4 linked regions of the Tamandua tetradactyla genome follow. The protein of the gene in region 1 interacts with the protein of each later gene in a pairwise test. Links are inferred from orthologs where the notes say so. Each region holds a gene or a part of one and is shown in the gene's direction. Other genes may lie near its edges. The genes, in order: CCDC184, RPL9, PBLD and PIN1.

Evidence for each region.
Region 2: the proteins of CCDC184 (region 1) and RPL9 interact in binary tests that used the Homo sapiens proteins (3 or more experiments, as listed by UniProt). The two-hybrid records come from large-scale screens. The link is inferred for Tamandua tetradactyla from reciprocal best matches to the Homo sapiens genes CCDC184 and RPL9.
Region 3: the proteins of CCDC184 (region 1) and PBLD interact in binary tests that used the Homo sapiens proteins (3 or more experiments, as listed by UniProt). The two-hybrid records come from large-scale screens. The link is inferred for Tamandua tetradactyla from reciprocal best matches to the Homo sapiens genes CCDC184 and PBLD.
Region 4: the proteins of CCDC184 (region 1) and PIN1 interact in binary tests that used the Homo sapiens proteins (3 or more experiments, as listed by UniProt). The two-hybrid records come from large-scale screens. The link is inferred for Tamandua tetradactyla from reciprocal best matches to the Homo sapiens genes CCDC184 and PIN1.

The regions. Positions count from the first base shown.
Region 1 is NC_135333.1:108,230,278-108,237,298, forward strand, and holds CCDC184 (coiled-coil domain-containing protein 184), read left to right. Parts: upstream 1-4,286; 5' UTR 4,287-4,701; coding exon 4,702-5,295; 3' UTR 5,296-6,513; downstream 6,514-7,021. Other genes in the region: ASB8 (ankyrin repeat and SOCS box protein 8), read right to left, coding at 4,004-4,118.
Region 2 is NC_135345.1:41,212,837-41,220,286, reverse strand, and holds the start of RPL9 (large ribosomal subunit protein uL6), read left to right. Parts: upstream 1-4,440; 5' UTR 4,441-4,448; coding exon 4,449-4,528; intron 4,529-4,564; exon of another isoform or gene 4,565-4,651; intron 4,652-4,988; coding exon 4,989-5,035; intron 5,036-5,124; coding exon 5,125-5,240; intron 5,241-5,675; coding exon 5,676-5,771; intron 5,772-6,719; coding exon 6,720-6,852; intron 6,853-7,450. Other genes in the region: LIAS (lipoyl synthase, mitochondrial), read right to left, coding at 172-229, 318-474, 1,208-1,288, 1,902-1,995, 2,984-3,156, 4,239-4,283.
Region 3 is NC_135339.1:29,027,263-29,034,341, forward strand, and holds the start of PBLD (phenazine biosynthesis-like domain-containing protein), read left to right. Parts: upstream 1-4,059; 5' UTR 4,060-4,128; coding exon 4,129-4,212; intron 4,213-7,079.
Region 4 is NC_135337.1:91,911,439-91,919,082, reverse strand, and holds the start of PIN1 (peptidyl-prolyl cis-trans isomerase NIMA-interacting 1), read left to right. Parts: upstream 1-4,635; 5' UTR 4,636-4,685; coding exon 4,686-4,743; intron 4,744-6,662; coding exon 6,663-6,869; intron 6,870-7,644. UniProt on the Homo sapiens protein: Peptidyl-prolyl cis/trans isomerase (PPIase) that binds to and isomerizes specific phosphorylated Ser/Thr-Pro (pSer/Thr-Pro) motifs.

The DNA.
Region 1 (7,021 bases):
TGCTTATGTGAGAGTGGTGTGGGATAAATGATTGAATATGCACTGAAAGAGGAAAAAATGTCCGTGCAAGTGTTGCTATAAGAGAAGCTGTAACCGTGGGCAGTACAGAGAGGGGAGAGAGAATGGACACCGACAAAGCAGGTTCAATTGGAATAAGGGATCACTTTCAGTGGAAATTCAGCCTGCCTGAGAAGTTGGACAGAGCCTTGGAGTTCTTGCTCTGGTAAAGTTAAAAGTGGAAGAGAAAGAAGGCAATGGTATGTATGTGTGTGTGTGTGTGTGTGTTCGTGGGGGTGGGGTGGGGGTGATTGTAGTGGTTTAAGGTCATGAACAAGCCATTGAAAGTCCAGCTCAGGCTTTAAGTAAGGAGTGGATATGTGGCTCACCTCATGGCCATGTCTGTCACTAAAATCTCTTGAGGACATGGATAGTTGAGCTCCTTCCCAGTCAACGGTTCACAAGGGCCAGAATCCTTGAAAAATTCGATGCTTGTTACTCTGGGTAAGTGGGGAGATGAGCAAAGCAGGTCGGCCATAACACCAGGCAAATTATCCTCTGGTACCGAGAAAACCTAGTCTAAGTGATAGACAAAACCCATAATACGAGTATTCTCATCCTCTCAGTATCTCTGGCCCTCTGAGACACCTGTCATTGACAGCTGGGGTACCTCGAATCTGTGCAGGTCAGGGAAATGAGGGACAGAATCAAAGGAACTGAAACAAACGTGGACTGATCTACATTGGATAGGCAAGGAGTCTCTTCCTATAGAAGACAGAAGGAATACATCCAGAAGTGAGAGAAGCAGAAAAGAGAGAGAGAGTGAGGGCCAGGCTTGTGAGAAAGTTTGGGGGTATCTGGGGAGAAAGGAGAAAGACTAATGGTAACAGTTATGCTATTACGTGTGCAATAAAGGGAGAAGGAGGGAAGAGAAGTTTAAGATGGTTTACTCTGTGCTAAGAATATAAGTAAATCCCTTTAGAATTTTCCCAGAGACTTTAATAAAAATTTCAATTGCTTTTTAATTATTTTTGGCTAGTGTATGTATTTCTTTTGAATGCAATACCATACTGAGATGGGTCACAGGCACTTCAGCTTCTTAAAAGTTACGTTTGGGGAGTTATTGTTGGGGATTTGGAAACTAAAGTGCAGTAGTCAGCTGTATCTTGACTTAGATCATTGTCCTAGACCCGAGTCAAGCAAGTATCTTCATCATGACTGTTACATTAATAGTGCAAAAGATACCCAGCTATATAGAGACTGAGATAAACTAGATGCCAGATAGAATAAATAACAGAGACTATTCGGAATCCAAATTTAAGGGAGAATATGATGTTGGATCTGGGTGCACCTGATAGGAGATCTATATGTGTAACAGCATGGGGTCTCTTCTCGTCATGAGCTGATGAGACTAGGATGAGGGGATAGCAAGACTAAGATAAGAGAAAAGCAGGAAGCAGAAGCAGAACATGACGGGGGAGGGGGGATTTTTTTCTCTCGCGATGTGACATTCCTTCTGAATACTTCAGTGGGATGCCAGGATGCCCATCCTGCTTCCTTTTGTTTGGAAATGGATCCATTCAACAAACCTAGGACATTGGCATCCAGAGAAACCAGCCCTGTAATTCAGCCATCTGACTGAGGCTCTGCTCTGCTGTGCAATTTTTTGGAGACTAGATTCTACTCCTATTTTCCCAACATATTTTCACTCAGAATTCCTGAAATGATCTGGTTTTGTATCTGTCACATCAATCATCTCCTTCTTTTATTTACAAATCTTGCTACTGGTCCATTCCCAGTTCCCACCTACCCTTGGCTTTCGAATGTCTGACCTGGAACTTGATTGGATCATCGACACCCCTTCATCTCTGCACCTGTTTCCCATTTTCTTTCTTGCTTCTCCAATAATTTCCCTCTCCTCTAGGCTCAAGCCTGCTGTATTCTCAGCAGGCTTCATGGCCACTGCCTCTAGACAGCATGATGTAATCTTATGCTAAAGCCTTGACATATCTGGTATCCTCAACAATAGTGGAAAAAAGCCTTGTATGATGGCATAACCCAGCTCTGACTCTGAGGAGGCTATGTTTAATGTAGGGTTAGTGGATTGATAAAATAGGAGGCCCTCTTATGAGGACAGGGCCATTACTTGTAGGTAGCTGTAGGCCAAGAGATGTGCAGTAACAGATGCAGGCAAAAAGCCTGGAAGTCATGCCAGCCTTTTTTGGCTGGAGTATAGCTCTCTTAGGAAGATTGAGCAGGAGGCTGATTCCATAAGCTCTGCAAACAAACTTGCTATAATATGACCAGAAATGTACGCTGTACAAGCTTAGCTGCTTTTATGTGCCTTGTCTTTACAATTTTTTGTAAAGTCTATTTGTAAATATCAGCCCACTTCAGGTGTGTTTAGGGAAACCAAGAAAAAGCATTACTGTCCTCTCCTGAGCCAGTGCTTTCGGAATACTCTGTGGAAGGTAGCAGGGATAAGCAAGGTGAGAGTGATTCAACTTTGTGAAATGAAGGAAGAGTAGATAGGAAGGAAGGAAAGAAGGGAGGGAGGCATGGAGGGAGGAAGGAAGGAGCAAGCGAATAGTATTGAATCATTAGTTTTAGAAAATACTGTGGGTTTTTTTTGTTTTTTGTTTTTGCTCATTTATTGGGAAGAGGATCAAATTTCTAATGGCTGTGTACTATTGTATTATGTCAGCAATGCCTTAGATTATTTAAACATTGTGCTGTTGGACATTTAGGATATTTCCAATTTATATTTTTTAATAGCCGTAAGACAGGCAAAGGCCAAACAGTTTTTTAGTGCCCTAAGTTTCTGGGCACCAGCTTCCTCGTCATCATTAGAGCACCCAACCAAAGTAACCCCAAGGCAACACATTTGCTTTCACTGAACAACTGTACAAAAAACATTCACCCATAGCTAGCACTTCTCCATATTGAAGTGATAGTTTGTTTTTTCCCACATGTATTTGTTCTTAGGAACTTCATTTTCGGTTTCTAACCACTTGGCTTCTCTGACTTAGTAGAGACATTATTTACTAGCATGCTGCTGCTCAGGTGCTCACTGCTTCCCAATCTTGTGTCTTCTGTAAACATACTAAATCAAATTTTTCTTCCTCCACCTCAACTCTCACTCTCCCCCTCAAGTAGTGTCACAAAAGTTGGGACATTCAGTGTATGTCATGGGCACTGGGGAAGGGGGGGATATTACCCTCACACCTGGTCCCCCCCCCATCATCCCTCTACACTTTACCGTTTCACCTGTGAGCAGGTGTAGTATTATTCAGAGTTGGAAATAATGTTATGGATTATCCACAGATCGGGAAAACGTGGATCAGGAACCCACATATTCAGGAAACTGATTAAGCCAAGATCTCTGAATTAATAGTGGCAGAACCATACCCTGAATTCAGGTCTCAAAAAAAATCCACTACTTGTTGAGAGTTCTGAATGAGGGAATGGGGGACAGAGTGATTGTTGTTAAAGTACTCATTCAACGAATCTACTGAGCATTAATTTACTATGTGCCAGGGATTATTTTAGGTGTTGGGGATTAAGTGAATGAGGTGAAAAACAAAAACAAAAACAAAAACCTCTGCTTTTAGGAGCTTTCATTCAAAGTGTGAGTGCTTTGCCTCACTATCCTGGAAAACCCCACAGTGACCTAGATAGGAGCGAGTGGGTCTCCAACGGAGGAAATCCCACCCTTTCTCAGTTTTGTGCTTACTACAGTGAAATAGGCTGATTTTCTGCAGAAACTTCCGTAGTGCCCTCTTCCTGCCCCTGCACAGCTATGGCCTGCCGGGACCCACCGCAGAGCGCCGCCGCGCACCAGTTCAAGTCTGGGATTATTAGCGTAGGTCTTTCTACCCTCCGCTTCCCTGCAAACGGCTGGAGGACAGAAAAGTAGGACTTGGGTCTAGCGCCATTCCTTTGACAAAGGAATACCGACTGGTGAGAAGCATTCTGAGGCAGTCGCGCTCAGTGTCTAATACCCTACCTGGGGGAGGGATGATCTCTCCTGGGCTTGGCGTGTACGCAGCAAACTGCTCCCTCCTGCTTCCTATAGAACGTCGCAGCCACATGCTCTCTCTACCCTGAGGCCACTGCAGCATCCCCTCCCCTCCCGCCCCACCTGCTAGCTTAGACGAGGGAGCCCCACTGCAGCTTCCCAACCGTCCTCTCCTTTTCTTCTCCACTTCCTGGTTGCCATGGAGACAGACGTCATTTACGTGCCGTGCGTCGCCTTGGAAACAGAGGAGCATTCGCGGCGCGGCCGGGAGACCCACCTCTGCCGCTCCAGCCACACTCGCGGGCGCTGCCGGTTAATGGCGCGGGGGAGTCCCGAGGCGGACCCGCTGCTGGCCTCGGCCTTGACCCAGGCGCTCGTGGCGCTCGAAAGGCGTTGCCGGCACGGGCGCAGTCCAGGATAAGCAGGGCAGGGTGCTTCCGTCCCGGGGACAGTCCGAGAGTCGCCGGCCCTGGGACCCTCGCCGGGCGCGCGTCCCGCCGCCTCTGCCCTGCCTCTCCAGGTCCTGCCCGCGCCCTCCTCCCAGGACTCGTCTCCTCAAGTCGGCTCCTGCCCCTCTGGAGAGCCTGCTCTTCCCTGGGCTCCTCTCGCCCCCCCGGGGACCCCACCCCTCCCCGCCCCTTGCCCCACTCCGAGACCGGGCCGCCACCGCCCGCTTGTGCCATTCAATGGAGGAAGGTCTGCTGGAGATTATGACCAAGGACGGCGGCGACATGCCGGCGCCCCTGGAGGTGTCCACCGTGCCGGCCGTGGGGGACGTGATCTCTGGGGAGTACAACAGCGGCATGAAGGAACTGATGGAGCACCTGAAGGCCCAGCTGCAGGCCCTGTTTGAGGACGTGAGGGCCATGCGGGGGGCCCTGGACGAGCAGGCCTCGCATATCCAGGTGCTCTCGGACGACGTGTGCGCCAACCAACGGGCCATCGTCTCCATGTGCCAGATTATGACCACCGCGCCCCGCCAGGGCGGCCTGGGCGTGGTCGGCGGCAAAGGGAGCTTCTCGGGCACCCCCCAAGAGCCGGAGATCCCTTCTCCTGGGACGGGAGACAGTGGCTTACCGGGTCGTGATCCCGAGGATCAGGAGGACGACGATGAGGAAGAGGAGAAGGAGGTGCCCACCAGTTCCGCCACACCCACCAGTCACTGTGAGCGCCCCAAGAGCCCCTGTGCTGGCCTTCTTGCGGGGGACGGACCACTTGTGGATCCCCTTGATCTGCCCGACATTACCCTCCTGCAGCTGGAGGGTGAGGCCTCTCTGTAAGGAGACTCCGCATGGGCACTACCTTCCCCGGCTGGCTTTGGGTTTCCCGGTGCATGACGTGAGGGGATTGAACAGCGCGGTGCAGCATGCTTCTGACGGCTGCTCTTGTTGGTCAGACTGAGAGACTCCCCTGAGGAAGGATTTGTAGGGTGAAGACTTTGGGAGCATCAAGAATTCTTTCTGCCCAATAAGAGAGACTTTGTAAACCGCGGAAAGGTGAGGTTCAGGGAGAAGAAGCGGCCCCATCTCTGGACTACCATCCATCCCCTACCCTACCCTTGTCCCCTCCCCAGCCAACTGGAGAACTCCTAAATTATGTAAATAAAATTCTGCTTTTTCTATTCTGAAAAAGGACTTATCTAGGACTCTGGCAAATAATCTTTAAAGTTTTACCTAGGAATTAAGGAATTGGGGTATTCTGTTCTGGAAACAGGAAATTTACCTTTCTGCTGAAACCCAAGATATTCAGTGCTCTGCAGAAACCTCTCCCCCTCACAAATCTCTGCGCCTGATGATTGGTAAAGAAAGCTTGAGGAGGGAACTGCAGCCCTAGGAATCTGGGTGAATGGGGTTCCAAGGGCGCTTGGGCTGGGAGGAGCTGGCTATGTATGTGCATGAAGACATAATAGCTCAACTTCTAGGATTTTTGCATGGATCCTGCCTTGTCACTGACTTCATCTGGGATTGCTTTTCCACTCACTGGGGCTTAGAGAACAAAGAGCCCGGTTCACAGGCAGAGACTCGGGATGCTCAGCAACAGCCCAGCTTTAGGGGACGTTTGAGGGACTCTTGGGGGCTGCAGTCAAAAGCTGGTCTCACTTCTGGCTATTCCTGCTTAACTTTAGCTCCTTTTCCAGACAAAATGTCCTTGCCCACTGCCTCTTGGTGTTGCCTCCATGATGTCTTGTGTGCTTTGTGTGTCCACTTGTATAGTAGTGTGTGAGCCCTGAGGGGCAGGGCTTTTGGCTCTGATGTTAGGTTGAGGAGGCTGCAGACCCTTCTGGAGCTCTATGCTATCATGGCGCTTCCCCCTTTGCTCTCCTCCCCACCCACCCCCAACCAGGGCATGGAGCATGTGGCTGTCCTGAGGATCCTTAACTGATGTGCCTCCCTCATGCCTCCTCAAGTGGTGACTTGTGTGCTCTTCTCCCTCCTTTGTGTATTCCTTCTCAATGCTTTCCTTGGTGTGAACTTAATAAAGAGGTGTCATCTCCCCTCCTTGCTGACTGGTATCAGGGGGATATCAGGGTGAGGCTTCTGGGCCCTGGATTCTGGAAGGAACTCTGCCTTCTTTCTCCCTGCCTCCAGTTTTGAGGAATTGACCGACTCTGGTCGGGACCGACACTGACAGCTTTGCCGGCTTTACTTTCTTTCCTGGACCCTAACCACCAATTGGACTAAGGAAGGAGGGAGTATGTGTTGAGACTCCTAAACTAAATTGGGTTTTTAGTAGCCCGAACTCTAGATGTGCTAGAGATGTCTTTTCAGTGAAGTAACTGGTCCCTGGGAGATGATTTCCAAGCCTGGGTCCTGGAATGGCAGGCATAACACCTGTTTCATGGAAGGGCTAGAGAGGGGATATTGTTTGGGAGGGTTTACCTGGGATTGTTGAGAGGTAGCGACACACAAAGGAGAAACCACAGTAACTGCCACAGGCGTCTACTGAAGAATGCCGGTAAGGGGTTCCCCAGGGAACCTAGACTGACATCAGCTCTAGTCAGCTCCT
Region 2 (7,450 bases), on another chromosome or scaffold:
ATGTACAAATATACTTTTTCTGGAGAAACAGCCACATAATTACCATCAGATTATCTAAAGAATTTGTAACCCCTGAAAAGGTTAATAATCATTGCTTTCAGGTAAAGACCCTAAATAAATGGAATTTATATGGGACAAAAAGGTCTAATTTTAAATTACAAAAGCAAATACCTTTCCTTTAAGCACGACACAGTCTTTGCAAAGTGCTCAGCTCCCCCATCAGGCATATCTAGAAACAAAAATAACCCATGGTTCCAGACGATGTCACAATTTAGTAAGAGCCAGTTTCAGGAAGTAGACATGATTGACATACTAACCATCTCGATCCACAGATGTCAGGACAACATAATCCAGACCCCACTCTGCAATTGCCTTTGCAGTATTGTAGGGCTCATTGGCATCCAGTGGAGGTGGATTTTTTGCAGTTTTAACAGAACAAAATCTACAACCTCTTGTACATGTGTCACCCATCAACTAGAAAAGAAATGTTGTAATTTAAATCAAACAGATGATCCTCAAGAAAATAATGTTAAGATAATGAACCAAGCTGTAAAGAAGTTGTACAGTTTGATTGTTTATAAAAAGTCTGAAATATTCCAAACTGAACAATAAGTAGTTAAGCAATAAAAATACATGTAATAAAGCTATAAGGAACAGGACACTCGTGTCAAGAGAAGGGGATGGGATCAGGAAGTGACACACAGGAGGGATTCAAAGATAATGCTGATCTTCTTAAACTGGACAACAGTATCTAGGTGTCCACTGTATTGTTATTCTTTATAACTTACACACAGTTTATAAACATTCTTTTATATCTATTCGGAGCAATAAAATGATTTAAAAAAAACAAAATACACAATTGTTTAACAGCAATGTGCAGGTCTCTGTTGGAGTTAAATTGAAGCACAGCTCCTACCTGTAAAACAGATGGAACAGAAAAACATTTCCAAAAATTAACAGAAGAGATGTTTCAAGGCAGCACATGATCAGCTCTCAGGTAGCTGACAGAATCAATAACAGATTCATTCAAAGAATGGTGAGATCATAATAGGCTGGATTATTATCAGTTCTTTCCCTTCATATTTCTCATAAACTCCCATATAATGAAAAATTTGATCAGATTCATAATGCACATTTTTAGTAGGAAGACAAAAATATTTCCTGTCAGTTTCTAGACTTAAATTTCAGTGTCTGAGGCTGTCCTTACCATGATTGTGGCTGTGGCTGTGGCATATTCTCCACCTCCCCAACACTCTCCGATATTGGGACATCGAGCTTCCTCACACACCTGTGAGCAAAAGGGAATAATCAGGTTGAAAATAGTAACCAATTGAACAACTTGGAATTAGGCATTTTAAACTGCCCTTTGTTATATTAATGAAGAAATTCCCTATTCAAAAAATGCTGTTCAATTGCCAAACCACAGGCCTATCCTTTAAATTAAAATCGATATGCATGTATATATTCTATAGGTGCAAAGTAAAAAGGTCTATGAGTCTGAAAGTATAAGAGTGGCATGGTTAACATTTGGGATTGTGTAAGTGACATGCTTTCATATTTAACTTTATATTATTTTCAATGAGTTCATAATTTTGTTTGTAATATAAATCAAACAAAACTTGTTTCTCAAGTTATAGAAAAAATAATATATACATATTTTTAAAAATTATTAAATGAGAAGTTAAGAAATACAAACTATTACTATCTTTTGTTTCTCTTTTGAAGGGAAACTTATTTTAAATGTATTCCAATTGCTGGAAGTAATGCATCAATGACATTTTTTTATTTACTTCCTCTGAATTGTTATTTATATATTTAATATTAATTTTTAAGTTATATATATATGTAGAAACAGCATGACTTTTGGATAAGAGGAATATTTAACACTTTGACAGACTTACTGTATGAAGATTTAAAGTTCTCAATGTATTTTTCAGTTTACTGTAATTTTTCCCCATGGGAATCTCTGTCTTTAACCATGGAGGTAGTCTTAACCTGAGGAAAGCCAAACATAACTATCTTTTAACAAATATACTGCTAAGGAATCACACAGTTTTGATATCACTTTGCTCTATTACAATTCCTAGTTAGGATATCCCCCGCCACCCTGCTATAATGCTGAATTAACTCATAATTTCAGCTATAGGAATAATACAATTTAGGCTTACTCAAACCACATTAGAAAATATTGAAAATGGCATCTAACAAGGTATTATGTTTATGTCTAAGTTTTGCAAAGGCAGACTTACACCATTCTAATAAAAGAATAAGTTTTTTAACATCTCATTCCCCAATGGATAATACTGCCCCAAAGTACTATATTTGTTCAGAGTAAGGCAAGATCCCAACAGTGCACTATGTGCTCTACATTCTAGATTTTTAAATGATTATTAAATGGAAAAAAGCTAAAATTTGGAATAGAGATGATCTATTCTCAAATTCCCCTCAACTTTTGCCAATTCGTGATCTAGAAATTGTTGGATAAAGTATCCTACAAAACATTTTGCCCTATGGATGAAATTCCCTCACCATTCTTTAGAATTAAGGTAAGGTGTTTATAGGTTACATATAAATTGACTGGGAGCAAAACAAGTTGGATCATCAGCATCAAGTAATAATAAAAAATTTTTCTAAAGTCTACACAGATTAGTAGCAAAGTTTCAACTTTCATTCTCAAGAAATTAGATGCTGGGCAGAAAATAGGAGATCGTACTTGAAGATGGTTAAGGCTCCTGAAATAGGTCTTGGGAAGCTTGAAGAAAAGCTGTTACAGGGAAAAGAGAAAAGAAAAGGATTCCGAAAACTTCATTACTTCTTTGTTCTATTTAGGTTTTACTAGTTAGCACTTATTTTTCTGGTGATTTTGGCTAAATTTAACAAGTCTAAAATAAAAAAATAATAATCTGGAGTTTGTTATATCTGGAAATAATGCATGATGAAAGAATGGATATTAAAATTAAAATTGTCTCAAAATTTCAATTACCTTTCTCCTTTCTGGCGTTTTAAGTTTCCTTTATATTCGACCCAGGTGTTCTTGTCTGTAAGATCACCAGATACAAAATCTTGAAGATCTGGTCCATTCTGTAAAAATTCCTTTTTTTCTTCTGACAAGGAACTCAATGCTCTGACTGGACTGCATAAATACCTTCCAAATATCTAGAGAGAGAGAGAGAGTTCATTATATTACCTAATTTATTTAGTGGGGACTAGAATAATTTCTTTTTAACCTATTAGTATCTAGAAGGGAAGGTAAAGCCAGAGAACTGACTCAGAAGTTAGTCAAGATATTTAGAAGTTCTAATTATGTAAGAGCTTAGAATCTAAAGAGAGCAATCCAAACTTAAAGATGAATGGGTGTTAACTGTTTTTGTTAGATTTGAATGGATTTGGAAACCTTTGGAACCAACATGTCACTTTCATGTATCTCACTTAGGTACTAAAAGGCGGTCTTTCCACAAATTTAACCTGCAATAACTGGAGAGGATGCCACAGGAATTTTCCATTCCTGACTTGAGTAAGGACACGTACATGGAAATGTGCAAAAATCTTTCTGCTTTGGCTTTCCATAAGCATAAGTGTTAAACAAAAAGGAAAGGCCAAGTTAGTTTTAGAGAACTGGAAGGAGGAAAACCAAATCGAATGTTGTTTTTATTTTCCAGTTTACACTGACTCTGTATTTGAACATCAGAATAAATATTTGTTGAACATATAAAGCCATGGTATTTTGGCCTCTAAATATAAACACAGATGTGCACAAGAAAGCCAAACCGTTATGAAGTTCAGGAGTCAGCACATGTAACGCAAGGTAACCTTTAATAAATTTAGAGTTAGGCTGCGGCACAACTGCTACTGTACTTTTCCCTGTCTCCCTCCAAAGCCTAAAGGACCGGTAGAATTGTATTTACTACACAGTGAACGCAGAATAATAATAAGCAGTAATTTGGAGTGCTAAGCGCAGTGCCTTAATAAATGTAGGGTACAAAGCACTGAGATAGGTGCTGGTGGGTGTAGTCCTCAGCGCTGGGCCAGAGAACATTAAATCAACTCACTACCAGAGATACCACCTCATAGAGCTGTCCGGAGAATTAAATGACTTAGTATATGACAAATGCTTGGAACAGTGTCTGGCGCAAGGCAAACGCTACCAAGTGTTAGGCTTTATTACTGGGCACTCTAAGCGTTTGAAGGGATGGGTGCCCGCCACCCAATACCCACAAACGACTCGTCCCGCCGCTCACCCGGGGCCCTAGTACGCGGGCGGTCCCTCTGTAACGTAGAGACATCTTCTCTTTGGATCTAGCAGGGTGGAGGGACCAATGATTCCTGGGAAAGTACAGCTTAATGGACCGTCGCTCAGTTCACGTCAAGATTCTCAGTCCGCCACTGACATGATGGCACTTGAGCTGCGTCGCAATTGGCTGCTTTAGCCTTAGCGGCGTCGCGCACTTATGACGGAATACTTAGGACCCTACGTGCTACAAGAACGTGATGACGAAACACGTTCTCTCTTTGCCGCGTCTACTGTGAGGTGAGGACGATTTTATCCTCGCTGGGCTTCGAGAATCTGAAGCCATCCGTTTCGGGAAAGCGGGGGTCGCGGGTCTGGCGCGCGGAGGCTTCATTCTGGTTTTAACCCCGCACAAGGAGCCCGGTATTGACATGGCGGTGCTGGGATTCAGGCCCTGTTCTGGGCGTTTAGGCCTCCTCCCGCCCCTCGGTCTTTCCGGGATGGCGTGGCCAGAATGGGGCCTCCCAAGGCAGCGAAAGTGGTTTTGGCTGACCTTCGCCGGCTGGGCTGTCTAACACCGATTTAGGGCCGTCTTCTCCCAAGCGAGGACACTTTGGGGGCCGCTCTAGGGCGTAGGTAGTTATCCTGTGTCCTTCCCAAGTTTTTGCCTGGAAGTCTCCTGTAGAAGTGGAACTTTGCCGGGTGGTTTGATCGAGAACACACTGCGCCGGTTTTTTCACTTCGAGTGTTTATGTTTCAGAATGAAGACCATTCTCAGCAATCAGACTGTCGACATTCCAGAAAATGGTATGAGACTTAATGTTTTGTCTTTTTGCATATTTATTAAACGTCCTTTACCTTGCTTTGTGGTCTCACGAATACGGTCTTTCTTCTAGTCGACATCACGCTGAAGGGACGCACAGTTATTGTCAAGGGGCCCCGGGGAACCCTGCGAAGGGACTTCAATCATATCAATGTAGAACTCAGTCTACTTGGGAAGAAAAAGAAGAGGGTAAGGTTTTTTGATACTTGTTTGGAATATGGTGACTTATAATAGCATGCAACTTGGTTGCTTTAGAAATTGCAGAATTGGAGGTGCAATGTTTTACTTGAAGGTTTGATGTTCACAATAGTAGTTGACTTGTTATTTAGGGAAGTTGAAGAATGAAATTCTGCATAAAGCTTACTAAGTAGTACTCAGTGGCAGATCTTTGTACCATTACAAATTAGGTTTAACTGATGTATTTCTCTCAGTTGATCTTAGAGATGGTACAGTGGGTCATTTAAAATCTGGTATTGTAGAAGTGAAGTTTGTTGTAACTTACAAAAGTCATTGTTTTGGGGTAGTCATGCCCTTGTGAAATTGTGTACCTGTGATGTAGTATACTTATAAAAACATTACATATTGAGGGCTCTAAAGTTTGGGGTTTTTTTTCCCTGTTAACAGCTTCGGGTTGACAAATGGTGGGGAAATAGAAAGGAGCTGGCTACGGTTCGCACTATCTGTAGTCATGTACAGAACATGATCAAGGGTGTTACACTGGTAAGTATATTGACCACACTTGTTTTGGGAGAAGTTTCTCAGTTGTACTTGCCTTCCTAAGAGCATGGAATACACATGTAATTTAGTGGGATATAAGCGCTAGAACTTGGAAAAATAGTCGTGGAAAATGTGGCATCCTTGGATCTTTAGAATTGAATGATGTGGTTAAAGACCAGATGGGTGGAATTTTAAAACAAAAACAGGATGATGGTGTATTGTTTTCACATGAGAGGCTTAATTACTTTTTAGAAAACCAGAAACTACAGCTGCAATAAGTACAATAGACTTTGGTTACTTGTTAGTATGTTTAACCACAAGGGCTCCTTGGAGGTGTAGAAAAGATGGATATAACTTGTAACTGAACTCCTCCCAATTTCTCAGATGCATAGATGATGTGGGTAGTCTCTTTCCAAGGACTTCGTTATTAAGAGAAAGTTTATGCTACTGCCATTGCTGAAATGCTTTTCTTTCCCTTGCTAAATTTAAATTTAGACATCCTTTAGAACAGCGCAAGCTTTACTTACCTTCTGGAGTGCAGTTGATGATGGGACCTTGTACCTACCTCCATTATGAACCTTGTCAAATCAAGTTTCTCCCTATCTTGCTTCCAGACTAGATTCCTTGAGAGCATGGGGCCTGTGTCTTACTTGCCATCTGGCATACCTTAGTAACTGGATGAATGTCCACTCAGTGCTAAAGATGAGGGGCTCTGAGGGCTTTCATTAAAAGAAGTTAGCATATTGTTTGCTGTGGCCATGGGAGGTAGTAAAATAAGTGCTTCTTGGAAGAACTTTACGCTGTTCAGTGAAGAGACACTGAAATGTGTGTTTATAAAAATGTAAGATTTGGCAGAAGTGTCAGTCATAAAAACTGAGGACAGTTAAAATTCTTGAAAGTATAATGTAAACATTGTACAAATTTTTGAAGCTGAATTTATTAATGTTATAGGGTTTCCGTTACAAGATGAGGTCTGTGTATGCTCACTTCCCCATCAACGTTGTTATTCAGGAGAGTGGTTCTCTTGTTGAAATCCGAAATTTCTTGGGTGAAAAATATATCCGCAGAGTTCGGATGAGGCCAGGTATGTGCATATCCTCAGATATTCAGAAATTTTTCCTTCATACTTGTGAAGGTTGGTCATTTGGCTTGCCTATGAGTAAAACCAGATTATTTCAGAGTTCCTTTCTGATATTTACAAGATTTAGTGCTAGGTAAAGATTTATCTTTACCAGTTGTGGATCCTGACGGGTTATACGTTGGAGCAATTTGCAGGGCGTGGATGTTGGCTCAATTATGTTTGCAAATTGAAATCCTAAAAAGTGCAGTTAATAGTGTGGACTGCCAAGTATCATCTCAACTCACTGGCTCTCATTTTGCGCATCTCTAAAATTGGAAATATCTCATGATTAAACTGAAAAACACCAAGTTTCTTTGCCTGAGACATAATTAAGTTTTAAAGCCTAGTACTCTGGATGCTTTTTTATTCTATTGAGATAGAAATTATTTGATAACTATCTGTAATTAGTGACATTTAATGAAAACCTTTATGTAAAAAACTTTGAGGGATACTAAATATATACAATAGAAATAAGATTTGCATTGTGTGAATAGTGTGTTCTGGTACTGTATCACCGAGAGAGCCAGCAACCACCCTGGGACAGTGTGATTAAGCAGGTTTT
Region 3 (7,079 bases), on another chromosome or scaffold:
CATTTCTGTGCCCTCTTCCAGACCTCCCTCTCCTGTCTTTTTTTTTCAACTGGTAGAAATCTCTTTAGTATTTCTTGTAGGGCTGGTCTCTTGTTGACAAATTATTTCAGGATGTGTTTGTGAAAATTTTAATCTCTCCCTTAGTTTTGAAGGACAATTTGGCTGGGTCCAGAATTCTTGGCAGGAAGTCTTTCTCTTTCAGAATCTTAAATATATCATACCACTGCCTTCTCATCTCCATGGTGCCAGTTGGATTGTCTAAACTCAGTCATGTGGTTTCCCTTGTATGTATTAGATGGTTTTTCTCTTTGCTGCTTTCAGAATTTTCCGCTTCTCTTCAACAATTGACAGACTGGTTAGTATGTGTCTTGGGGAAGGCCTATTGGATTTATTCTGTTTGGTGTTCACTGGGCTTCTTTGATTTGCATATTTTTGTCTTACACAAGGGTTGGGAAGTTTCCCTCCATTATATACTCAACTACTCTTCCTAGCCCTTTTCTCCTCTCTTCTCCTTCTGAATCTCCTTATTTTAAGGTTAGTTGATCAGTAACCTTATTATGTCTACAATTTTAATTCCCCCTTGCCATGAAATGTAACATATTCACAGGTTCCAGGAATTAGGTCATGAACATCTTTTGAGTGGCCATTATTCTCTCATGGACTAGCAATGGCTTGAGCCTTAACAGCATTCACTGTTCACATAAGCAGAAGTTTGGGGGTAGTAGGTTCTAACATTTTATTTATCATCAAGAACCCAGACTATTTGTTACCTAGCTTGGCAGTTCTTCTTACGTGTCACCTCATGATCAAAAGATAAGTGTTATCTCTCTAGGCATCAGCAACATGTTCAAGATGGGCAAAAGGGGGTAAGGGCAATAGAAGATATTCTCCACTCAGCCCTGCTACTTTTATCAAAAACAAAGTACTGGTCTGCAGCCACATCCCAAGTCCCGGCTTCCTGCCTTCCTCCCCAGACAACATGAGCTTCACCACCCATTCCACCACCTTCACCAACTACCAATTGCTGGGCTCTGTCCAGTTGCCCAGCCACCAGGTCCGGCCGACCAGCAGCGTGGCCAGTGTCTATGCGGGCCCAGGCAGCTCGGGCTCCCGGATCTCTGTGTCCCGCTCCTCTAGCTCCCAGGGCGGCTGGGGGGCCGGGGGCCTGGCCAGCAGGTTGGCCATGGGCCTGGAGGGAATGGAGGGCATCCAGGGTGAGAAAGAGGCCATGCAGGCCCTGAACGACCACCTGGCCTCCTACCTGGACAGGGTGAGGAGCCTGGAGACTGAGAATTGGAGACTGGAGGGCAAAATTCCTGAACACCTGGAGAAGAAGGGATGCCAGGTCAGGGACTGGGTCCACTACCTGAAGCCCATCGAGGAACTAAGGACTCAGATCTTTGAAAATTCTGTGACAATGCCCACATCCTTCTGCAGATTGATAATGCCCGACTGGCTGCTGATGACTTCAGAGTCAAGTACGAGACTGAGCTGGCCATGCGTCAGTCCGTGGAGAAGGATATCCATGGGCTCCAGAAGGTCATCGATGATACCAACATCACCCAGATGCAGCTGGAGACGGAGATCGAGGCTCTTAAGGAGGAGCTGCTCTTCATGAAGAAGAACCATGAGGAGGAAGTAAAGGGCCTACCAGCCCAGATTGCCAGCTCTGGGCTGACCGTGGAGGTGGATGCCCCCAACTATCAGGACCTCAGCAAGATCATGGCAGACAGCCAGGCCCAGTATGATGAGTTGGCTCAGAAGAACCGAGAGGAGCTGGGCAAGTACTGGTCTCAGCAGATTGAAGAGAGCAGCACAGTGGTCACCTCTTAGTCCACTGAAATAGGAGCTGCTGAGATGACACTCACAGAGCTGAGACATACTGTACAGTCCTTGGAAATCGACCTGGATTCCATGAGAAATCTGAAGGTCAGCCTGGAGAACAGCCTGCGGGAGGTGGAAGCCGGCTATGCCCTGCAGATAGAGCAGCTTAATGGGGTCCCACTGCACCTGGAGTCAGAGCTGGCACAGACCCGGGCAGAGGGACAGCCAGGCCCAAGAGTACGAGGCCCTACTGAACATCAAGGTCAAGCTGGGAGGCTGAGATTGCCGCATACCACTGCCTGCTAGAAGATGGAGAGGACTTCAGTCTCAGCGATGCCCTAGATAGCAGCAACTCCACGCAAACCATCCACAAGAAGACTACCCACAGGATTGTGGATGGCAAAGTGATATCTGAGACCAACGACACCAAAGTTCTGAGGCATTGAGGCAAGAGATGCAGGGTGCCCTTTGGAAAACGGTGGCCAATAAAAACTTCTGCATCTTCAAGAAAAAAACAACAAAGTATTTTCTCCAGAATCCCTGTCGTGATCTTTCCCTAAATGGGTCACATGCCAAATTGGAGTTTTTTAAGGAAAAGAGAAGGTATATGTGGCAGGGGAGAGGGAGGTATGGGAAAAAGGCTATTGTTCTGGCAAATGACAGTAACTGTCAAACTCTGGAAGTTTTTTTTCTTTAAAGAAATGTTCTCATTTGAGAAACAATGCAGTATTTCCAGTAGCCTGATAAAGTACTTAGTTGTAGATTTCATTCTTCTGCAATGAATTAAATTAAGTAAAATTTAGAGGAATATTTAAGCAAACATATTATTGTAAAAATTAACACATGAATATATATGATCCCAATAGAAAAATTAGACAGTCTCTTTAATATATAGTTATTCATCCAATTAAAAATGTACCCAATGGCTGGGACCAATGAGTTCATAAAGTTAAAAACTTGCTCCTTTTGGCACACCTATGATTTACAAATTTGTCTCAATTCTATTACATTTATGGAAATAATATAATTATTAGAACTTTAATTTGTTTCTATTCTTTATTCATTTTTCTAAAGTAATAAAGGCAATATATTAAAACATTTCTAATTACATAAACAGATCGTAATATACTGTCAAACACAGTAATACTACTGATCTGAAATGTTGTTTCACAGGGGGTACCATCATGAGAAATCCCAAGTACTTGTCAGCCAATGTGTGAAGTCCAGTTTTAGCGTTTTTCTCAGTTTATTATTTACTTTCTTACTTAATTCAATATGTACCTATTGCTTTCCAGAAATTCTAGGAGCTGGGATTATAGCAGAGAAGAGAAACAAGTCCTGACTTCATGGTTCTTACAATTTGGTTAGAATAATTCAACAAAAGCAAATGAAAACTCAAAATATTATATTTCATTTATCAGATTAGCAATGGTAGGACTCCCTCATACTATGTCTTAATTTATACAATCTTTCTGAAAGTAAATTGTGTGTATAAGTTTAAATGTCTACACATTTTTACCCAGGGATTTCACTTTTAGAAAGCTATCATAGATTAAAAAAAAATCAGAGAAGTAGATTTATCTACTTTTTAGTTTGATCACTACATTATCTTTACCTGTGAAAAATTAGAAACTTAAATATTCGCTAAAGGGGAAATGGCTAAATACTTTGTAGCATATCCATAAACCTATTGTAAATCTATTAAACTGATGTTTTTAAAGCATTTTTAGTGCCCTTAGGAACTATTCATGCTATAATGCTAAGAGGGAAAAATGTGATTGAAATTCATATCCAAAACATTAATAAATGATTGCCGGTTTGTATGGTTGTGTGTGGGTTTTTTTTTTTACTTATTTTCCATTGTTTTTATAATGGGCACTTTTTAATAATTAGGAAAAAATGTGTTCATTTGAAATAGTAGAGATTTCCACTAGTAGAGTGTAAATAGCAGATTTCCTTGCCTCTTGGCCATTTTATGCACTTTATTATAAACTTAGCCTATACTAGTTTTGTCTACTCTAAGAAAGGATATGATTGTGCTGTTATATACACTGTATGAAAACTCAATACAGTATTTGAAAAGATTCCATTTACTCAGTATGTTAAAATAAATTCAACTTAGAAGCTTTAAAAAATATCTAGGGACCACATATCTTTAAATACAGGTGTGTTAAAAATAATCGCTTGACTTTATACCTGGCAACTGCTAGTTGCTTCGCTACACCAAGTAAAATATTAACTTTTTTATTTTTTGCAACAATTAGACATAAAGTCTACCAACAACTTTAAGAACTTGCAAGAAAAATGAAGCTCCCTGTTTTTGTAGTAGATGCATTTACAACAAAAGCATTTCGTGGGAATCCTGCTGCTGTTTGCCTCCTAGAAAATGTAAGTACTTGGATTTGAAATTCTACATTCTGTAGAACCAATTAGTTCTTTTTTTAAAAAAAAAAAAAAAATCAGACCCAGCTGTTTGTTTACTTCTTTGGTTTGTATTCTTTGGTAAATTATATCAGCAACATTCATATCCCGAAGTTGATTTTGACCAAATAGTATGAAGAAAATGCTTGCACCTCAGTTAAGTTTAGAGAAACGAAGATTCATCTAAGGAAGAACTAGAATTAGTTAACACCAAATGTTCATGAGAATGAGATTAGATGAATTTTATGTGATTGGATATGACTTCTATTACATTTAGTCTAAGCAATTCTAGCTGGATATTTTTAACTCTACTTACAGTTCACACGAGTAGAAAGTCTCTTCAGGACTAAGAAAATGAGACATTTTGCAAGGAATTATAAAATTAAGTGGAAGGTACTAAGCCCTAATATATAGTGACTTTAGCTTACCGCAAGTCTCTTTTTTTTTTTCCTTGCACGGGCAGGCACTGGGAATCGAACCCGGATCTCAGGCATGGCAGGCGAGAACTCTGCCATCGAGCCACCGTTGCCCTCCCTGCAAGTCTCCTTTATTTTTTTTTAACTTTTGCATGGGCAGGCGCTGGGGAATGAACCTGGGTCTCCAGTACGGCAGGCGAGAATTCTGCCACTGAGCCACTGTCATGCCACAAGTCTCATTTTTAAAATGACTTTTTTTTTTTATTAGGATAAATATTAACAGAATAGTTTAATATTCCTTGACCTTAGGGGCGTTGTATTGGTCCCTGGGTAGTAGGAAACAAGCTAAGGTAAGGTTCCACTCAGAGCAGTTGGCTGGTGTAAGAGAGGATTACCCGAGAATTACTTAAGGGACACTAAGAAATTGATCTCAAACAAGTCATATTAAGTTGGGCAAAAAGCGTACGTTGCCTTCGAGTGCAAAGAATCTCATCATGGCCTGCACATTAAAATCACTAAGGAGCTTTAAAAAATTCTAAGTCCAGACTGTGTCTCAGACCAATTACATCAGAATCTCTGGAGGTGGGACTCAGGCATCACTGTTATTTTAAAGCTCCTCAAGTAATATGTGTGCATTCAAGGTTGAGAATCGCTAAGGTTTTACTGATTTAGGTGAATATTGTTAATTGAGTCCTCAGTACATAGCTGTAAAATGGTGATTTAAAGTCCTCATCTCACCTTAACAAGGCATCCTTCTTGCAGTCTTGTAGGTGGCATTCTCCCTCCTCAAAATGCAAAAAATAATAAATAAGTTAATAGGCTTTCTCAAGTACTAACTCTCAAGAGCTTGGGCATATTAGTGAGAGGATATTAACAACCAGATTCCAAATTGTGAGCTTTGTTAAAGAAACAATCTGGCAAACATAACTTCTTGTCAAGGAATTTGGAATTGACTAAAACTGCTAGGTCAAGATTCTTAGTAGATTTGCTCATGTCCCCATGTAATATCCTTGAAGAGATTTGAAATAGTTTTAAGTGATTTATATACTCAATTGTCACCAGATAACCAGAATTCGCATTATTTTCCAACGTACTCCTTTTACCTCCAGTAAATTCACTGAACACCAGACTTAGAGAATCTATATCTGTCTATCCATCCATCCATCCATCCATCCATCCATCCATCCATCCATCCATCCATCCATTATCATCTATCTACCTATCTATTTCTCCATTAAAATATATATTCCATGTTATTTCTGTATTTAGAAAGACTAGGAAAGAAATATTTTAGCTTAGAGCTTAACAAAGTTCAAAGCAATAGACTTAAGTACTAATGAAAGGAGGAAAAAGAAGACGAGAAAATCCCTGATTGGGGAAGAATGCAAAGCTCATTCAGGTCTTCCAACTCACTTGTTTGGGTCTTGGCCTGTGAGAACAGGCTAACTTGATGACCTGTCAGGGGCACGTGAACAGGTTTTATTTATTTATTTATTTATTTTGTTGTTAAATTTTTTTTATTTAAAAAAACAACCAATACACTCAGGACCACCAACAATGAATATCTTAGTTAACTTAACCATAGGCATATTTAAATAGAATATCCATATAATCATTGTAAAGCCTGTGTTTGCGCAGTAAGTTTCATAAACCAATTTAAAATTAAGGCAACAGGGAAAAAAATCTATGTATCCAGATAGCGAAGTTCTTAAATTCTAAATATTAAATGCTAACTTAGATACCATTTGATCAGCTGTCAAAACTGAATGTTCTCAAAATATCAAATAGAAAGTTCTTACAAATATCTGCATTGCTATAGTAAAGACCAATGAATGAATAGGTTTTAAAAATTAGTTTGCTAAGCCACTTCCTCATGTTTTCCCACTCTTTAGATATGAGAATCCTGTCCTCCTGGAGGTTTTTCCCAATTTATAATCAATACAAATTACAATAGATGTATAAACTGTGTTTTCTGCCCCTGAGTTCTTTGCCCATGGCTGGAGAGAGCGAACACCTGAAATGCCTAGAAAGAACAAAAGTGAATGTAGAAAAATATCAGAGACTCATAAGCGCTAAACCTTATAATGCTGACCAAAATCCAGTAGGTATACAGCATGTTGTAACACGTTGTACAAATATTTATTGACGTCTACCATGAGCCAGGCTCTGGGCTAGGGACCAGAGGTACAAAGATTAATATGTTTGCTTTCCTTGGAGGTGTTCAAAGTGCGTGTCTAGTGCATGGGTAAACAGGCATGTAAACCAATCCTTATCCAGCGGTAGACTAGGGAATTGAACTATGAGCTTTTGAATACTTGACAAAAGACTGCTGAAAAGAAAGTAAAAATTTCTGGGTAACAGTTTTAAGAGTTTCTATACAATTCTAAAGCTTTGTTTCATTTCAAGACAAGTGGTGTT
Region 4 (7,644 bases), on another chromosome or scaffold:
TTCAATTCCCAGACCGTGTGCCCCCCCCCCCCAAAAAAAGGAAGGCAAGAATGAGCACTGTGGGGCTAGAGTAGAGTTGGGGTATCAGTATGAACTCATGGCTTTTGTTTAATATATGTACAGACAAACACAGAAATACACATATATATTTCCTTGCTGTATCCACCGAGAGGGACCAGAAGCAGAGGCATTCCAGTACCTAGTGCCCTGATCCTGGCTTCTAAATACTATTCTCCAAAAAAGGATCCAGGGCTTCTCGGCGAAGTGGTTGATTCCAGGGCAGGCAGGGAAAATACAAGATGACAGAGAGTAGGAAGCGTTAAAAGATGGGAGGGGAAAAAAAAACAAAAAACACAGCAGCTATTATGAAAGAACCACCCAATGGTCAAAATAGAACAACTTGAGCAGTGAAATAATAATAGTATTTGATTATAAACCAAAGAATAAAATAGACTTGAACCCATTCTAACATTAATTAATAATTGAATAAATAAGTAAATGGGTGAGAAAGGACAACTCTCCCTTTCAGAAAGTTTCCAAATAATATAGATGGAAAGGTAAAATTAAGAGATCCCACTGGAGCACCACAGGGGTAATTGCTGCAGGCAAGATCCACTGGTAGATGCTGAAGTGAGTGACAAAATTTAAGCAGAAGTAGGAGGTTTGCATAGTCTCAAAGTATGACTCTCAAAATGCTTGTTCATTACAAAAGAGGAAAATAGTAAGTATAGATACCACTTTAATCAAGTGATCAAAGTTAATATCATCAGTGTGGTAAGCAGTCTCTGAGATGGCCCACATCCTGATATTCTAACCCTTGTGTAATCCTGTCTTCGATGTGGTCTGCATCTGGTTTCTAATGAATAGAGTATGACAAAAAAGATGGGATGTTACTTCTGACAGTAGGTTGCAAAGAAACTGCAGTCTCCATCTTGCTTGCTCACTCTTGCTTTTTTGCTTGGTCATTGATAAAAGCTGGCTGCCATATGGTAAGCTGCTTTATGGAAAGGCCCCCAGCCAACAGCCAGCAAGGAACCTTAACACTCAGTCCAGCATCCTCTGAAGAGCTGAATCCTGCCAACAACCATATGGACCAGCTTGGAAGCAGGTCCTGCCACAGTCAAACCTTTTGATGAGCCCGCAACTGTCCATGCCAACACAGCTAAGCTGTGCCCAGATTCCTAACCCAGAGAAAACAGATAATAAATGATAATCCACTAAGAAGTGGGATCATTTGTTTGCAGCATTAGATACTGTACTATAATCAGTAATAAATTTCAGCATCATCTATCACCTGATAATATGCACTGAGAAGGTCACATGGATTCTGTGGTATCCGCAATATGCATAACCTTGGCTAATCATGAGAAATGGACTAACGCATCATGACAACACATCAGAATGAGGGAATTCTATCCTTTAAAAGTGTCAAGGTCATGAGAGACAAGGGAAGAGCCTGTGGTTTAGTTAATAGCATTGCACCAATGTTGATTTCTTAGTTTTGATGACTGTTTTAGGCCAAGATATCCCAACCTTGCCGCTGTTGACGTTTTGGCTGGATACTTCTTTGTTGTGGAGGCTGTGCATTGTAGGATGTTTTGCAGCACCCTTGGCCTCTACCCACTTGATACCAGTAGTGTTCTTCCCCTGCCTCCACCACCATTTGTGAGAACCAAAAATGTCTTAAGACATTACCAAAAGTCCCCTGGAGAGCAAAGTCATACCCAGTTGGAGGCACTGCCCTATTTCTGTGTAAGATGGTATCATAAGAGAAAGCTGGGTGAAGGGTTAGGGGAACACTGTACTGCATTTGTACCTCTGCTCTAAGTCTAGAATTATCTCAAAAATAAAAGTTCTTTCTTAAAAATTGATGCTAATTCATGCTTGTGAAAAAAGACCCAGGGGGTGCAAGGGTAGTTCAGTGGTAGAAGTCTCACCTGCCATGCAGAAGAGCCGGGTTCAATTCCTGGTCCATGCACTTCCCAAAAATAAACAAAAATTCAACAAATCGTGCTGCAATAATGGGATACATGGAAAAAATAATGAAATGTGACCCCACCATACAGCATACCAAAAAAAAATCCAAATAGTATATTAAAAATTGAGTTTAATATCTTTATTCACTCTCATCACCAAATCATTAACACGTTTGAACAAATTCCAAAATTTTCTGATTCAAATCTATAGTTTTTACACAGTTGAGATAAGTATGTATGTTTATACTGTTTGCAGATTGCTTTTTCACTTTATATTTTTGACGTCTTTCCATATGCAATCTATCTCAGTCTTTTAATTGGTACCCATTTTAGTTTCCCAGCTGTTAAAACAAATACCGTACAATGGGTTGGCTTAACAGGAGTTTATTGGCTCAAACTCTCAAAGCCTAGAAAGCTTGTTTGCTCCCAGGGTCAGTATCTTCTGGCTGACTGGCTGTCTTGGCTTTTCCACCCCATGGCAATGTGCATGGCACCTCTTCTATCTCCTCTGGGTTCCCTTGACTTCCAGCTTCTCACTTCCAATAGCTTTTTCCTTCTATATCTGAATTTCATTCTGTTTATACAGGACTCCAGTAATGTGGATTAAAACTCAACCAGATTGAGTTGTTTTGAAAGTGTAGCCTACTCCAGAAAAACCACGTCCTTTAATCATGATTCAGTATTGCAGGGTGGGAACCTTTGATTAGATTGTTTCCATGGAGATTGACCCACTCAATTGTGGGTATGACCTTTTTGATTAGAGTACTCCCATGAAGATGTGGCCTGCCCAATTATGGGTGTGGCCTTTTGGTTAGAAGATGTGGTTCCGCCCATTCAAGGTGGGTGTTGATTCGTTTATGGAGTCCTTTAAAAGAGGAGACATTTTGGAGGAAGCTGAGAGCTGACAGAGATGCAGACACCTGGAGATTCTTGGAGGGCTGACAGCATATAGTGGCTATGTACCTTCCCATGAGGTGCCAAGCTAATCAGAACCCAGAGTTGTGTCCTGGAGGAATTAAGTGAAGACACTTAGAGAGGAAACCACTCGAATCAGAAGCTGGATGCAACGGAATCAGGAACAAGGACCAGCAGACGCCAGCCATGTGCCTTCCCATGTGACAGGCTTTCTTGAGTCAAGGTATCTTTCTCTGGATGCCTTTAGTTTGGACATTTTTCTGGCTTTAGAACTGTAAGCTTTGTAACAATAAATTCCCTTTTTAAAAGGCATTCCATTTCTGGTGTATTGCATGCTGGCAACTTTAGCAAACCAATACACTGATTCAGTTGGGCTACACCTTAACTGAAGTGTCATCTTCAAGATCCTATTTACAATGGGTCCAAACCCATTAGAAAGTGGACTGAGACAAGAACATGTCCAAACTGGGGTGCAATTCAACCTACCACAGTATTCTTTATTAATGTTTTTGTTTTGTTTTGCTTTCGTGCACATTATAATTGCTCTGCTGAGCCATGACTTGCTTTTTTTCACCCAGCATACAATACTGACATTTTCATACCATTGCTATGGGCCAGGCACTGTTTTCAGTGCTTTATCTGAATTAATCCATTTACTCTTCACATCGAACTGGTGAGTATATATACGTATATTTTTTGGTCTCCATTTTGCAGATGGGAAGCCCAAGCACAGAGGTTAAGTGATTTGCTCAAGGTCATAGCAAGGTACCGCCCCCATCCTGCCTCGAATTTGTCCTGGACCTGCTTTCCCTCTGCCTCATTCTTTTCAACAGAAACCCACGCTTTAGATGAACTATAATTGAACTCTCCCGGTGGGTGTCTTTGACTCCCATATCATCTCCACCCTGCAGTGCTCCAGTCCTGAGTCCTCATCCACCTTCCCAGTGCCCCACGGGCACCGCAAACCCAACTTAAAATTGGCTCAAACCAAGCTCATCGTCCTCCCCGGTTCCCACCCGCGCCGCCCCCCACCCCCCACCCCCCAGGACGGAGGAAGGAGCGAGGTTGAGAGGGAATAAGTGATGGGAGCAGGTCCCAGAGGAAGGGGACGGTGTCAGGAATCAGTAGCACAGACAGGGGTTTAGCCTGGCCAAAAATAAAGGAGGGCGGGTTGGCTTTGGACTTCTGGTTGGAAACAGGTGGGAAAAGGGAGAATGGAGGAGCCTAATTTAGGTTTTGGGCTCCCAGCTACTCGTCACCAAGGCGACTGCGTTGCTATGGCAACAGCAAAGGCAACACCGCCTTTCCCAAGAACCTTGTCGGCTGCCGTTACCCCCACACCCGGCAAACACTTCCCCGAGGATAGCAACCAGGGGGGCCTGCGGACCTCTGGGGACGGCTTGGGAGGGTGGGAAGGGCCGCCTCGGTGGCCAAGCACCAGGCTCCGGGTTGCCCGGCTGGGCGGCGAGGCAGCGACGCCGCGATCTGGACTCTGAAGCTCGCCAAAGAGCGTGGAGAAAGGCGGGCCCGCATCATGACCCACCAATCAGAGGGACGGGGCGGGGCGGGGGTGAGGCCGGTCGGGGGCGGGGCCTTAGGGAAGGCAGGGGTGGGGCCGCCTTCTCTCTCTTCTGCCCAATAAAAAGCCTGGCAGCGAGGGCCGACGGCGGGGGTGGCCAATAAGCGTTGTCTCCAGGCCCGGGGCGGGGCGCGTCGAGCCAATCGGCGGCGGCAGTGGGCGGGTGCGGGCGGCGGCGCGGCGGAGGCGGAACGGGCGCTGCGGAAGAAGGGAAGATGGCGGATGAGGAGAAGCTGCCGCCTGGCTGGGAGAAGCGCATGAGCCGCAGCTCAGGTGCCGCGGGAGTCGGGGGCGGCCGGGGCCGGGGCGGGACCGCGCGGGCCCGCGAAAGCTGGGCTCGAGCTACACCTGGGGCCCCGCGGCGCTTCCGCCTCTTTCCCGTGGGGTCTTGGTTCCTCCGCGTTGTCCCCGAGTAACGGCCCTGTGGGGCCTCTGAGCCTCGAGAGCCAGGAAGCCGGGGGAAACTGAGACCGGGGTGCGGTGGGGAGGGGCCAGGGAGCCCGCAGCTCACCCCCGGACCTTGGCCCTGTCTCTGCCGGCCCTCATGCGCCTGACGTCCCTGTATCCCTTCGGGCTCGGAGGGCATCCCTGGAGAGGGTAACCCCATAATCCATGCCCGGGGCGTGGCTTCCTCGAAACACCCTTGCCAACCACACTTAATGCACGGTCTGTGATATCCACCGCAGAAACCCTGTCTGAGCACGGGCCCTGCGTGGGGACCCCCCCCCCCCCCATAACGACACCAATATCAGGCCACGTTCATCTCTGCACCAGGCAGAATCTCCCCAACTCTGGGAACTTGACGGTTATTGCCCCCATTTTGCAGGGCAGGACACTGAGGCCAGAAAGCTTAAGGAACTCTTGCCCGTGGTCATTCAGTTTAGGGGGTAGTGACTGGATTAAATCCAGTAAACTGGATTATATATATCGAAGAATCTTAGTTTTTTGATAAAAAAATTAAACCTGACTCCCGGGGCCCTCCCCAAAATCATGTCACTGCAAACTTCATAGGAGCCCAGCAGCTATCTCCAGAGCTCAGAGGAACAGCACTTTGCATGCATCTTCATTGACTCTCTCTCCACACATTCACCCATGAGGTTTGATGTCCTTATTCTCTCACCCCCACTCTTCAGATGAGAACAGTGAGGTTCAGGGGGATAGATCTCATTGCAGAAGGTTTTGTAGTCAGTGACTCACCTGGATTTGCCCCCAGAACCCGAGCCCTTGACCTGCCCCCCCACCTTTGCCTGTGTCTGGGTCCTGTGGCATCAGCCTGATGCTCTTGCCAAGCTCTGGGTTCCCCCACTCCTGACAGTCACCCTCAAGGGTGACCCCCTGCCCTATGCAGCACTGGGCCTGAGTCTTCTATGTGACTCAGGCAAACCCTCAGCCCCTGGGATAACAGTTTTCTCTACTGGGTCCTTCAGGCTTGTTTGCAGACTTCACTTGTACGTGCTCCTCAGTCCCTGGGTGGACCATGGCCCCCGGTAATGCTGGTCCCTGCTTCTTCTGCAGGAGATTATACTGTGCCACAATGGAGAGCAGAGCTTTTGTGTACAGTTCCTGTCTCGCCCCATGCCCCCATCCCACTCCCTGACCTTGGAGCAGAGTAAACAACTGAGGAAACGTTACCCGCTCTTGCTCTTACCACAGACGGGGAAGCAGGGCCTCAGTTTTGCCATCTATAAAAGGGAGGTAATTCTTACATTCTTAATGCATGCCAGGCTCTGTCCTAAGCACTTTATAGATGAGCACTCATTCCTTCCAACAACTCTACAACAGCAACTGTTAGCTCCATTTTACAGGTGGGAAACTCAGGCCCAGGAAAGGGAGAGCATACATACTTTCATACAGTGAACGAATAGCAGAGGTGGATTTGAACCGTGGTGGCATGGCTGTTGAGTGTACACTTGAAACACTCTCCTGTTTTGCTCTCTTCTGTCCCTCCTGGGTTATTTTTCTTTTTGAAGTTATCGATGACTGAAGTTGTCTACTTTGCGTCTTTAGTGCCCGTTTGTCCCCACCTAGTATGTTAACTTCCTGAAGGCAGGGACTGGGTGCTGTTAGATTAGCCCCAGTGTCCCCGGGGCCTATGCCACATGGCAGACACACCATGGATGTGCCAACTGAACACTGGCCAGTCTCTTATCCTGACTTCCAGTCAGCTGAACTTCCACCTCCCTCCCCTCCAGGCCGGGTCTACTACTTCAATCACATCACCAATGCCAGCCAGTGGGAGCGGCCCAGTGGCAACAGCAGTGGCAAAAATGGGCAGGGGGAGCCTGCCAGGGTCCGCTGCTCACACCTGCTGGTCAAGCACAGCCAGTCACGGCGACCCTCGTCCTGGCGGCAGGAAAAGATCACCCGGACAAAGGAGGAGGCCCTGGAGCTGATCAATGGTGAGCACAGCCAGGCACAGGATATCAGTGGAGAGTCTTCACTCTAGGGAGGGCTGGTGGGAACGGGCCTTGTGGGAATCAGACCAGACACTCAGCCCCAGCTGTGAGGTATGGCATGACATGTCACTGCAGGACCTGAGCCTGGCACCCATGGCTGCCTCTTCTTCTCACTATCTGGCATTTCAGGTGAGCCAGGGTAGGCATAGAGGACCCAGCCCTGGAGGCTAACAGATCTGGGGACCCCAGGACCTTGGGGGACCTTTGTCACTGCCTGTCCTCCAAGCTCAGTTTTCTCCTCTGTAAGTGGGCATCACCATGCACCTGCCTCCGAGGTGAGGTAGTGTTGGGCACACAGTCGGCTCTCAGTTGTGGAGCTGTTTTAGTATCATCCAGCAGAGCCCTGGGTCACCTGTGTGGGCAGGTGGGTCCTGAAGGTCATAAAGGTCACACACGCAAAAGGAGCCTTTTGCGTGAGTGAATTCTGACCTGAGAGCGGAGGCTATTCCTAGCACTGTTCTGTCTCCTTCACAGTCTAGAGCAGGGATTGACTTTTTTCTTAAAAGGGTAGATGGACAAATAGTTTTGGCTCTGCAGGACATAAGGTCTCTGTTGCAGTGGGAAGGCAGCCAATAACAATTCGTAAACAAATGGTCGTGGCTGTGTTCCACTAAAACCTTATTTGCCAAAGCAAATGGGGTTTGGCCCATCAGGGTTTGCAGAACCCTCGTCTAAAGCTGTCTAGTATGGCCACCACTATCTACATGAGACCGTTTAA